3 linked regions of the Tribolium castaneum genome follow. The protein of the gene in region 2 purifies or fractionates together with the protein of the main gene of each other region. This does not show direct contact. Links are inferred from orthologs where the notes say so. Each region holds a gene or a part of one and is shown on either strand. Other genes may lie near its edges. The genes, in order: spdo, numb and AP-2alpha.

Region 1 (3,651 bases), on a different chromosome or scaffold from region 2:
GCATTTTGTGGCAGGTGCTTTTAAACGTTCAACAGATGCATGTGTGGATGACCACAAATTTTACGCCCCAAGACGTGATATTTATTTTCTTCCAAATGTAGACCAGCACGAGTTTTATTTTTGAAAAATCTTGAACTAGTTAGGTTTGAGGACAGCGTACAATGCAGTTTTTGTTTTGTGCTGTGCTGTTAGCGTAAATTAGTTATGAATACATTTACACTTTCGTTAATGCACTCCCACACCTTGAAAGTGCGCACACTTTCTACTAAATAAATTTAATAATTGTTTGTTTTAATTTTAATTAAAATGTAATTTAACGTTTTGAAAATGTGTCTTTACTCTTCTTGCCGAGGTGAAATAAATTAAGAATTTTTTGTGCTAGCGTGTCCGACATTCACTAATAAATGCTCCTGTCATGAAGCTTACAAAGACATTAAAATTTCTAATTGCTGAATAACTTGTTCGGATTTGATATATAAAGACGTACAAAAATCGTATTTACTGTTAAATGAAAGTAACTAAAAAAGTCCATTAATTTCAGCTCACTTACGAAAAAGTTAAATTACTTGATCGGAATTTGGCACAAAGCTATAAAGCTTGACAATTTCGCCGCGTATCGAACGGTCCAATAAATAAAGCCACTTACATTGTTATAAAACCGTTTATTAGATAAAAACAATCAATACCTACAATAAATAATATTTACAATTTCCAGTCATTAAATAATATAAACCATAATAATTATATTACTATAAAATAAATAAGTGGTTTTAAACCGTGAATCCTGGGACGCTGTGCTCCACCCTGTTGTCAGGTGGCGGATATTTGCAACAATAACTCGTCATGACTCCTGCAGATGCCAACACTAGAGACAAAACGGAAATCCCGCAAACGGCACCGGAAGTCATATCCGCGAGAGGCGTGCCGGGCTTGGGCTGCAGCACAAGCAGCACCAGAAGCCCGGCACACATCAGAAGACTAAACACACTCAAAACGATATACCCTGCAACAATCCCATTACAAAAAATAACAAACCAAAAGCCGACTTACCGGAAATGTAATTCCGGTTGGGCAGCCAGTAACAATTCCGCGTCCGGAACCCCAAAAACCCCAACACCAGACAAGTGAACCCTGCCACAATCCCGAAATCCAGGAAATACAGCCGGCCCATGATGGACACCATGTAGAAGCACAGCCCCGAGGTGACCCCCCCGCAGAGCATCATCATCACCGCGGCCACGGCCAGCGTCACTTGGGTCGGTTTCCTCGGCCCTAAGTTCATCCAAGAGTCGGTTTTGGAGAACGTGGTCTCGCTGTAGACGCTCTGGATGGGGCTGGAGCACATGGGGGCCACGATGGCCGTGTGGCGCTTGTCCTGCGCTTGGCGCGTGTCGAGGGCGTAGTTTAGTTTTTGGCGGGTTTGGCTTTTGCGCGGCGTTATGAAGGGGTCCCGCTGGGGGGATGGAGGGACTCTTCGGTGGGCTTGGGGGGACATTACGGGGGGCTTTTTGGGGGTTGAGAGGAGCTCGTGGAGCTTTTGGGTCGCGATGGGGTTGGAGGGTTTCCGGGGACTTGGCGGTTCGAACTGGATGTATTCGTAACGGTTCCGGGTAACGGATTTTGGCGGGGACTCCTCCGGGATGTACTCGTAGCGGTGGTTGGGCCTGCCTTGGACGAACTCTTCGGCGTAGTGCACTTGCGGCGGTTGTTTTTGGCAGATGATGTAGCGGTTTTGCTCCTGCATGGGGATGTACTCGTACCGGGACTTTTGGTCCTTGGTGGGCGAGGATACGACTAGGACTTTCTTCTGCTTGATGATTCCAGCATCGTCGACGATCATTTCTTCGTAGAATTCTTCATCGTAGTATTCTTCGTTTTCGCGGTACTGGGGCTGGGTTTGCGCCCCGACGGGCGACTGGCGCACGTTTTGGACGATTTGGGAGAGCGGTTTTCCGTTGTAAAATTCACTTTGTTGGCTGAAGGCCGGGTTCGAGTAGAAGTTTTTCGGAAGGGTTCGCGTGGCCATTTTAAAGTCGAAATGCGCTCGCAACCGTCATTTGTAGTCGTTTGGGGCACGGCCCGGTGATGACTGGTCGCCTGGTGGTTGTTAAAGAGCTTGCAGCGTAACGGCAGCATGGGGGACGTACTTATCAAACAGCTGCATATGCCTCGCGTCATGTGGGGTGAATTCCATGGGCGTGCCGCCGGTTTCAAGCCCTCCCAAGGGCATACATTTAATAAGACGATCACGTCTTTTCGGACTAAATGATTTTTTAATGATGAATCGTATTTGGTTTATTTGGGTCATAAACGCGATAAGTACACGGTGGAGAAAAGTCTTACGGTACCGACATTTTTCCGCATAAAGTCACCGGTGGTGAAAGAAAAACGAGGAGTTTTGGAGCGGTTTAATTTGATAAAAGTTGAGAAATGTTGTTACGCCACTGACGGCACGCTCCGCCACACAAACCCATTTTGTGGAATTGTGCGCCGTTTTCTTTGTTGATATTTTGATCGTACATCTGTATATACATTCCACAATCAAACTGTTTAGTTATGATAAGTCGAAGGAAGCCAAACCAATAGAACAGTCAATGTGGAAGATTAGAGGACTAGACGGGTTCATTTTTTCTCGCTGGTGCGCGCTTATCTTGCATCGGAAATGAAATTTGAATTCACTATTTCCGTTTTGCCGGTTTATTCATGATACATGGCACAAATCCCAAGTGTTCTCAAATGTCAACAAATAACTGGTTGAGTGTATTCTATTTAATTATATATTCCACATGAAGCCCAACGTACCGTTCAACGGATGTCTTGCATATTCTCAAGGGTCATTATACATAATGTTTAATATCACATTACTTCGGGATTCTGAAATGCATGACAATTAACGAGGAAAAAAGAAAAGTCTTAAGTGCGTGGATGTAAAGAGAAAATTAAAGTGATGCAACTCGCTTTTTCAACTCGGATATCACTGAAAGTGCATGCCAAGCGACACTTTATTCATAAAATAAATAATAAGTTGCAAACTTGTTTTCACGTGCTTTAATATATCGACAAGTATTTGAGCAATGCTTCAATTAGTTTTATGATTGGTGCTTAAGATAAATTATGATTCGCTGTTTATGCAAAATGGATGCTAAATTTAGCCAGAGATTAGTTTGGAAAATGGGTAAAATTAATTAAGTTCCCAATTTCGCTGGAAGTGACGTCAAGATTTTTTTCATCCGAAAATACCAATTTCCGCCGAGATTTCCGCTTACAAACTTGAGAATACATAATTCTTTATAGTTGTTTCACCTTCTGCCAACACAAAAAAGGGTCCTAAAGCGGTATAAAATAAAACCATTACGTAGGTATTGATAGTTGGTAAAATAGTGGGCTATATTTACGTCGGACCTTCTGATTACAATGTTTATCTAGCTTCTAAAAACAGACACGAAAACGTTTCGTCTGCGTGAGAATTAATTTGAACGCAAACTCAAGCTTTGAAGAAAGTTAAGGTTGTCCCCAGGACGTTTTAGAAAAATTTTTTTTACATCTTTGTAAGTTGTCCTGAAAACGTCGACACACTTTCGGAAATGCCTTGTTTTTTTAATTTGTCAAACATCAATTCCGTTCCAGTGTTTGAATTTGTAGTTCTTATTA
Region 2 (3,655 bases):
TACTAAGTATGATGAAACCTAAATCCATCATATCACTCCAGAATTTAAAAAAAAATCCACTCCAATCCAAAACAGTGACTACGTCCTATTTTTCCCAAGCCGATAAAACTCAAAGTTGTGATTTCTAATGGAAAAAAGCGCTACTCTATTTTGGAAGATTCCCAAAATTGAAAGACAAAATTCCAAATCATTGTCCCTTACTATTTTTAATTGATACCAGAAAAATTCATTTTGATCAAAAAGATGAGATCTTCCAGTAATAATTTTTGTTAATTTTTTGTTAAGACAACGGCCATTAGACCTCAAAAATACGAAAAAAATGCACTAAAATACTCCTCCATAACCCTCTTATAGCCCTAGTATGTATCTTTGTAAATTTAATTTTTCTTAAACCATCTAAAGAGGCACTGGAGAACGTTAGATTCCACAATGAGCTTCAAAATTTTGCGCATAACTGATTAAGTGCCAAAAAACTTTTGTAAAGAAAAGGATGGCGTATGTGCATAGAGGTAGAAAAAAAATTCGTAAAAAATAGTTTAAAAAGTTTTCGTAAAATTTTATTTCACTAAAAAGTTATAAACAAATTCCGGTTTATATTTAACTCCCCTCGTACTATAAAAAATAACTTAAAAGATTCTCTACTTGTGTCGGTAATTTTTTTCAAAATAAGAAGCAGAAGCTGCATAATAAAGTTGAAGAAGCAAAAAAATATTAATACAAATTATAACAATTATAAAACGAAAATTCTCAAAAAAATTCAGATGTAGATACGTCTCTTCAAAGTCCCCACTTTATTATTCATTTTCTATTGATCTAACAAGATAACTCTATGTTTTCTTTATGAGAAACATAAAATATAAATGTCCAATAATAAAAAATAGACAAGATACGTATTAAAAATAATAATTACATCTCGTAATAATAGGTAGGTAAATGTTGGCACAATGGATATATACAAGAGACAATGAAAAAACACGAGAGGATATCTATGATTTCAAATTCTCGTACTACCACAAGGTGCATCAAGGACCATATGTAGAAATATCATCTTAAAAATTTCACATCTGAACAGAGAAATAGTAAAAAAACAACACACAGTGCAAACTGTGTGATTAAAAATAACAACATAAAAAATAATCTAGACAAAGCGTTATTATTAATTAAAAAAATGAAAGATATAAATTCTCGAATTTGGAGCTACAAAAGCTACAGACCAAGAAATTCTCTATTATTTCTCTATTTACTTAGTAACAAACAAAAAAAAGATCGGCAAAAGTTTTAAAAAATATCGAGCTGCAAAATAGCGTTAAAGAAGCCAAAAAATATCAGAAATATCAGCTTGAAATTACTAAATTCACAAAAATACACAAAAGAAAAAAACTTGAATTCAGAAATACCAGTTTAAAAAATTCTCAAGATATCAACAAAGCATACAAGAATTTTGTTGCTTAAAAAACTTTTCGAAGTAACAATAAAACACACAAAAAATAAGAAAAATTATGGAATCAGTTATGGGAGGAGAAACTATCCAAAGCTCAACTTCAAAAATCTCTACATTTGCAATAATTATGAAGGATCAGAGGAAGAAATAATTATTTGTTGAATTTAAAAAATAGATAGTATATCGGATTACAAAAGAGAGTTGGGAGCACTAAGAATGTATGCAGAATTGCAGAACAGTTTAAAAATGTCTTTGCAACGAAACATAAAAAGCGTAAGAAAAAAATCGACAATGAAAAAGTACCTACAAACTTTTCGAAATATTGGCGAAAGACAGTTGAAAAAATTAAAAAAAAAACAGAAATATCAACTCCTTCAAAAAAATATAAAAAAATGTAGGAAAGAAATTCGTAAAAGAATTCAAAAATCAAACTGTAACAAACAACAGTTAGGAAAGAAAATCCAAAAATAACATCTTAATATTACATTAACAAAAAAAAATAGACTTACAAAAAAACCCAAATCGTAATAAAAAAAATTAATTGGCACCTCTTAACATTTGTGCGAAATACTTAAAAAAAAAGTATACAAAAAAACAGTGACTTTAACAAGCAATTTTCAGAAAATGCTTTTATTTTCTGTCAACTTACTCGAAGCACTTTGAGGGCCTCCTCACACACTTGCATTCCCCTCGATTCGAAAACTTCAACACAGCCTAAATATTTCACAGCGAAAGTGCAAGTTCCGGACCTGACAGCTGATTCATCCGCTTGCCATTGATGAGGTTTGGAACTTTCAGGGACACGATCCTTTCGTCGCCGAAAGGAATCCCTGAAGGACCTCCTTAACCTATCCATTTTCCGAGGAGAACGTAGACTTCGCCTCTGAAATAAATCGAACCCATAAATATTTCGCATAAAGCGGCTGGAAAAATTTATTACACATGCATGTTACATAAGCTGAAAAAACAGGATGGCTAATTTCGTTTGCAAATATTATATGAGCAAACAAATACGGACGCAGTCAAGTCTTATTTTAGCGCAACATCTGATTTTTGATTCGGATAAATTGTTATTAGATAATCGCTTGCACACATAACTCAGAACGATTTTTTCCCATGATACCGCAATAATGGGAAAATGTAACCAAATAAAGCAGCGACTGCCGTTACACCAAGATAAATCGAGTCAAGTTGGCAAAAAGACATCAATAACCAAACACCGGAAGTGAGTGACATCTGGATATCGTATGAATGATTGCGGAAGAAAACGGAATTCAAAATAAAATATTTTAGAATTGATAAACGAGTTGAAAATCCTCTCGAAACTTTATCACCGAGATTCGAGCCATTCATCGCTTTTATCACCTTGTGCGATTATTCCATTGATAAAGTGAACTATCAATTAATTCAGCACTTTCACAAAACTCAATTACTGTAATTAAAACGTAAATAAATGGCGAGACTAAATTAATTAAACATTTAAACTCGAAACAATACGCGTGTTACTTCAAACTGAAACACCCTGTATGTGAAGTTCATTAATAATGAACCACATGCGAAATGATCAGCACATATGGCTGATAATTTATCGCTGATAAAACAAATATTTATTGAGACAAAACGATAGCTCCGATGTGAGAATATTAAAACTGTGTTAATTCACAAACCAGCTGTGATTGTTTTCCTAGTCAGAAAAATTCCCCCATAAAGTTATTTAAAAATCAATTTTGATTAATCATTTAACCAATTACGTTTTGCGTCAGATTCAATCGAAATGTGTTTCTCGAATTACCGGTTCAACCACGTGGTGCGGCTCTCAATAAAAATTTTCTTTAATTATTCAGAAAAAAGCACAGTTCTGTGCAAGGTTATTGCGTCACGACCCGTTAGAATTAATATGCACAACACCAAAGCCAAGATGCCAAGAAATCGAAGTCCTTGAAGGCGCAAAAGTGGGGCTCCTTGCTAGGAAAATCAGCCCGAATTTGGCTGCTAGGGGTTGGTTTGATGTCTTAATTTTGGTTAATCCAAGGTTAAAAACCGGTTAAGTTAATTAAATGCATGGGCGATTTCGCACAATGGCGACAAGGTCTCGCTTCTTGTTTGGCATTTCTCGTAATAATTCAAGTCAACGACTTCTGAAATTTAGTTGCATCCGTAATTTGACACTAAATCGTTCGAAAATGAAATCATTTTTGTGGAATTTGTGAATCA
Region 3 (4,101 bases), on a different chromosome or scaffold from region 2:
TGATTTTTGTTACTCTCGAGTTAGTGTTCCGTGCGAATTATTATTCATTGCTGAAAGATAAGCTAGTGATCTTGCACAACTTAATTTGATGTATTTTATAATTCTGAGTTCGTAAACTATTATTATACCCGCCACTGAACCGGTAGTTCGCCGTCATTCAGGTAAAAAAATTTATTATGCACTTACCGTTTTGGTTTTTTCTTTGCATAAAAGTAGTTTCCTCCAGTTGAATTTACGTTACGAGCGAAAAAATCGCTCATTATGTTATCGAACGCATTTTATGGGCAACAGATAGACCGGAACAGTCACTTATAAAATTGTCCTTGTTTGCAAAAAGCCGCATTACAATAAATTGGTCCAACCTTCGACCATTTAAAAATTCAGGATGTTACGACACTTCCATTATCAAGTGCAATCAATGGATTGGTGCAAGTGAACCCGTAATGGTGACTTCATGTTTTACTTACCTTGGGTTGAAATGAGAAGGAAGCGCTTTTGTTTAAATTTTTTAACCGCTGATGTCCGAATGATGGGCATGAAGTCATGCGTAAAATAGTGGTATAAGAACTGAGGTAAAGACGTTACCTAAATATCAGTTCGGATGGAAAAATTAGTCGGGTTAGTAATGAAAAATGTTGACGGTGATTTTTTGTAATTGAAGCATCAATACAACAGAAACACAAAAATGTTAAATAATCGCATATAATGTTACAACAACTTTAGCTTTGAATTCATATATTACACAATATTATTTTTACATAAAGTATCATGCACTTTGTAGATGATATAAAAAATAGGAATACAAAAATGGAATTGCAAAGAGTTTGTATTACTAAATCAATATTTTACTTATTTATACAATCAACATATACAAATAATAATTCAAGGCATACTACACAACGTAATCAGTTATTGTAATAAATGGTAAAAAATATATCTGAGGACAGTAGAAAGTCAACTGTTTCAATAAACTCCTCATCTGAAGAACGATTCATTACCAACTCGTCGACCATCCTCTGGTATGATATAACAATATAACACAAGTTACACGTCTCTAATGATATAGTTTTATTTCATATTGAATTTTTAATATACATTCAAGAAGATCGTTTGACCCACCTTAGTTTTTGGTTTAATTCGAGTGCAGCAGATCTGTCTCAACAAAAAACGTTTATTGTACATTTAATTTTCCGCAATGGACCCTTTTCTTCCGAATAGAGGTCTAATGTTATGAATTCAGCAAAAAATTCATATCTCTATAAATTAACTGTCAACAAGCAACACTAACGTCACACACTTACATATTGTCTCAAAGAACATCCTCTTTCTAATATTTTACTGTAAGCGAATCTCAAACGAAAAAAGAGCGCATGTCTGTGCAAATTTCAATATATTAATTTTTAAACAATAAGGTAAGTCTACTATGGAATGCACTCTTACTTACACAATTTTCTAAATTAATTAAAATTGATCCGCTAGAAGATCACAAATTTCTATCGAGACGCTTTCTTTACTAGAGCGCACCGTCAGTCTGTACATCTGCCAAAAAAAAGAAAACAGTTACGAAATTCAAAGCCGCGGGAACCACTTACTTGTGCACTCTTGTTCGGCTCTAAACGAAGAAGACATCCGACTTGCTGCGACCGCATGTGGATAATCCCAGCACAGACGAAATTATCCGGATTTGGATCAATCCCGTCCAGGAGTTGCATCCCGAATCCCATTATTTTTGTTCGCGCGGCTTGCAAGTCCATCTGCTGTGTCGCCCTAAATATCTTCTGAGATCTTTGCTGGTTCGTACTGCAACAAACAATCAGACCCTGCTCACTGCGTCCCGGAAATTACCTTCCGAGGTTTTTCCACCTTGCGAAGAAGGATTCGCCGTTCATTTCAGTCGGTTCAAAGAACTTGTTAATCGTCAATGGAAGTTTGATCGTTATTTTCTGGGGCACGTTGAGATACAGGAAACTGAGCACTATGCTGGGGGCGCCCGTGTAGTCATCGACACACTCCGCGTTGATCATCTGTTGGATTTGAGCACCAGCTTCCAGGACCGGCTCAACAGGCTTCATCTGAATGGTGAGCTTGGAAGCCTGATCGTCGGGCCAAGACAAGGTCGGGACGAAATTTTGCAACGGAACGTTAGTCTTATTTCCGTAAAACAAGCCAAGTCGGCCCAAATTCTGGCGGAACTCGCTTTTAACGCCTATCTGGATCAAGTCACTTTCGAATAAAACGCCGTTGTTTTTACACACGAACCTGAAAGAACACGATTCAAATAATTACCACCGGGTGCAAACAACGTTTTTACTTCTTGGGGTTGTACATGTTGACCGGTTGAGTGGCACTGTTCGAGTTGTTCGCCTGTTTGCCCCCGTAGATGTCCCCAAGGACGTCCAGGAGCACCCCGGTGTTTCCGGAGTTGGGCTGCGCTGTTGGCGGAGTCGACAGACCCAACAAATCGCCAGAGACAGCACTGCTGTTATTTACATCGTTGTTGTGGTTGGTCACAGGTGTGGGACTTTTGTTCTCCTTAATTTCATTTTCTGGGACCCGTCCTGGTTTTTTCTTCTTCAAAACAGCAAGAATCGAGCTCTCTCGTTCGGGGAACGCCGGCATTTCCTCCAATACTGTGGCCAAAACGTCCGAACTTGCAATAATACTCAATTGCAAATATTCCGAAGCTCGTTGTTGCAATTCGGCGTCAGCCGACCTCAGGTTGCTGTGCTGTTTGAAAACTTCCTGTACTTGAGTCCGTATTTCGGGGAACAAATTGATGAATTTGATGTAAGTCGAGAGTAACAAAGCTCGAGTCATCGGCGAACATAAGTGGTATTTTGAGTGGAGAAGTTGGAATTGAACTGAGGGTGAGGATCTCTGATCCCCGGCGATTAAATTGCCAAACTCTCCCAGGATGTAACCCCCGACTTTGACCATGTTCTCGTGACAGGCGGGTGCTTGCAAAGCCTTCAAAAAAATTGTTAGCTGAATTATGGACTCAAATGAGACCTACTTCAAAGACAGTTTTAGCGGCGTAACCTTGCACTTCATCTCGGTTGATAACGATTTGGATCACTCGATACCACACCTCTTCCGACACATAATCGCCAGCGATTCTTATCAAATTTAAAATAACATCAACATACCTGACAAAAAACGTAAAAAAGTGTTACGAAAATCAGGCTTGGTTTACCAAGTGTAATCCGTGGCGTATTTCTCGGCCAAAATCGCAACTTTTAGGACCATTTCTTCCCTAATTGAGTAATCAGCCGTTTCCAAATAATTCAACATTTCTTGGACGATTTCCTCAGCATTGCTCTTATCACACATAGCGTACAACAAATCAACGGCTTGTTGCCTCACTGAAACATCTTTTTCCATCTTCATCGACAAGATAACAACTTCCTGATGTTTCTTAACAGCCTCGTGGGAAAATTCAGACGTTGCTAAATGACACATCGACTCCAAAGCCAAATAACGTAAATTTGTTTCTCTATTACTCAAAAATTGGCCCAACTGGTTACAAGCACGCACCAACAAATTCGCTTCGCTGTATACATAACAAAATGAGACTTTTCAAATTTCAAAATAAATAAATATACCTGTCATTGTGAATAATTAAACTAATGGCCTCGAACAGTACGGCATTTTTAGCATTTGAGTGTTGCACTTTCTTCGATTTTGGAGGCTCCTGCGCTTTATTCAATATCGTTTCTAGGCATTCGTTCAAGCGGCCGCGCACCCCCGGGTCTTCAGCTAAGAATTCATAAAACTTTGGAGCAAGTGTAACAAAAAAAAGTGAAAAAATGAATCAAGTTTCAACCACGGTCCCTTAACAATTGTTAAGAAGAAAATTATGACAAACGCCAAACCATATACATTTAGTTTTAGCAGTGTTTTTATTTTATTTCTTCCCTTTAAGTACTGAATTTTTTTTACATAAAAATTGTTGACTTAGACGTTTTTCTTTTCAAAATTGCAATTAAAGTCATCTAATCCATTAAATTGTCTATAAATCTAAAAAAAAACAGATATTCCGTCGAAAATTAAGTTTAAGATTTGTGAAGCGTCCTTCTTAACTAAACGATTCCAAAAACTATT

What was found.
Region 1: the proteins of numb (region 2) and spdo purify together in Drosophila melanogaster (affinity purification with western blotting; 6 studies listed by BioGRID). This does not show direct contact. The link is inferred for Tribolium castaneum from reciprocal best matches to the Drosophila melanogaster genes numb and spdo.
Region 3: the proteins of numb (region 2) and AP-2alpha purify together in Drosophila melanogaster (affinity purification with western blotting; 5 studies listed by BioGRID). This does not show direct contact. The link is inferred for Tribolium castaneum from reciprocal best matches to the Drosophila melanogaster genes numb and AP-2alpha.

The regions. Positions count from the first base shown.
Region 1 is NC_087396.1:11,694,707-11,698,357, reverse strand, and holds spdo (uncharacterized protein spdo), read right to left. Parts: upstream 2,482-3,651; 5' UTR 2,027-2,481; coding exon 1,051-2,026; intron 1,004-1,050; coding exon 771-1,003; 3' UTR 648-770; downstream 1-647.
Region 2 is NC_087395.1:16,788,846-16,792,500, forward strand, and holds part of numb (protein numb), read right to left. Parts: intron 2,325-3,655; coding exon 2,091-2,324; intron 1-2,090.
Region 3 is NC_087403.1:6,346,480-6,350,580, reverse strand, and holds the end of AP-2alpha (AP-2 complex subunit alpha), read right to left. Parts: intron 3,757-4,101; coding exon 3,603-3,756; intron 3,551-3,602; coding exon 3,194-3,550; intron 3,147-3,193; coding exon 3,014-3,146; intron 2,968-3,013; coding exon 2,312-2,967; intron 2,260-2,311; coding exon 1,846-2,259; intron 1,801-1,845; coding exon 1,593-1,800; intron 1,540-1,592; coding exon 1,462-1,539; 3' UTR 636-1,461; downstream 1-635. UniProt on the Drosophila melanogaster protein: Adaptins are components of the adapter complexes which link clathrin to receptors in coated vesicles. Clathrin-associated protein complexes are believed to interact with the cytoplasmic tails of membrane proteins, leading to their selection and concentration.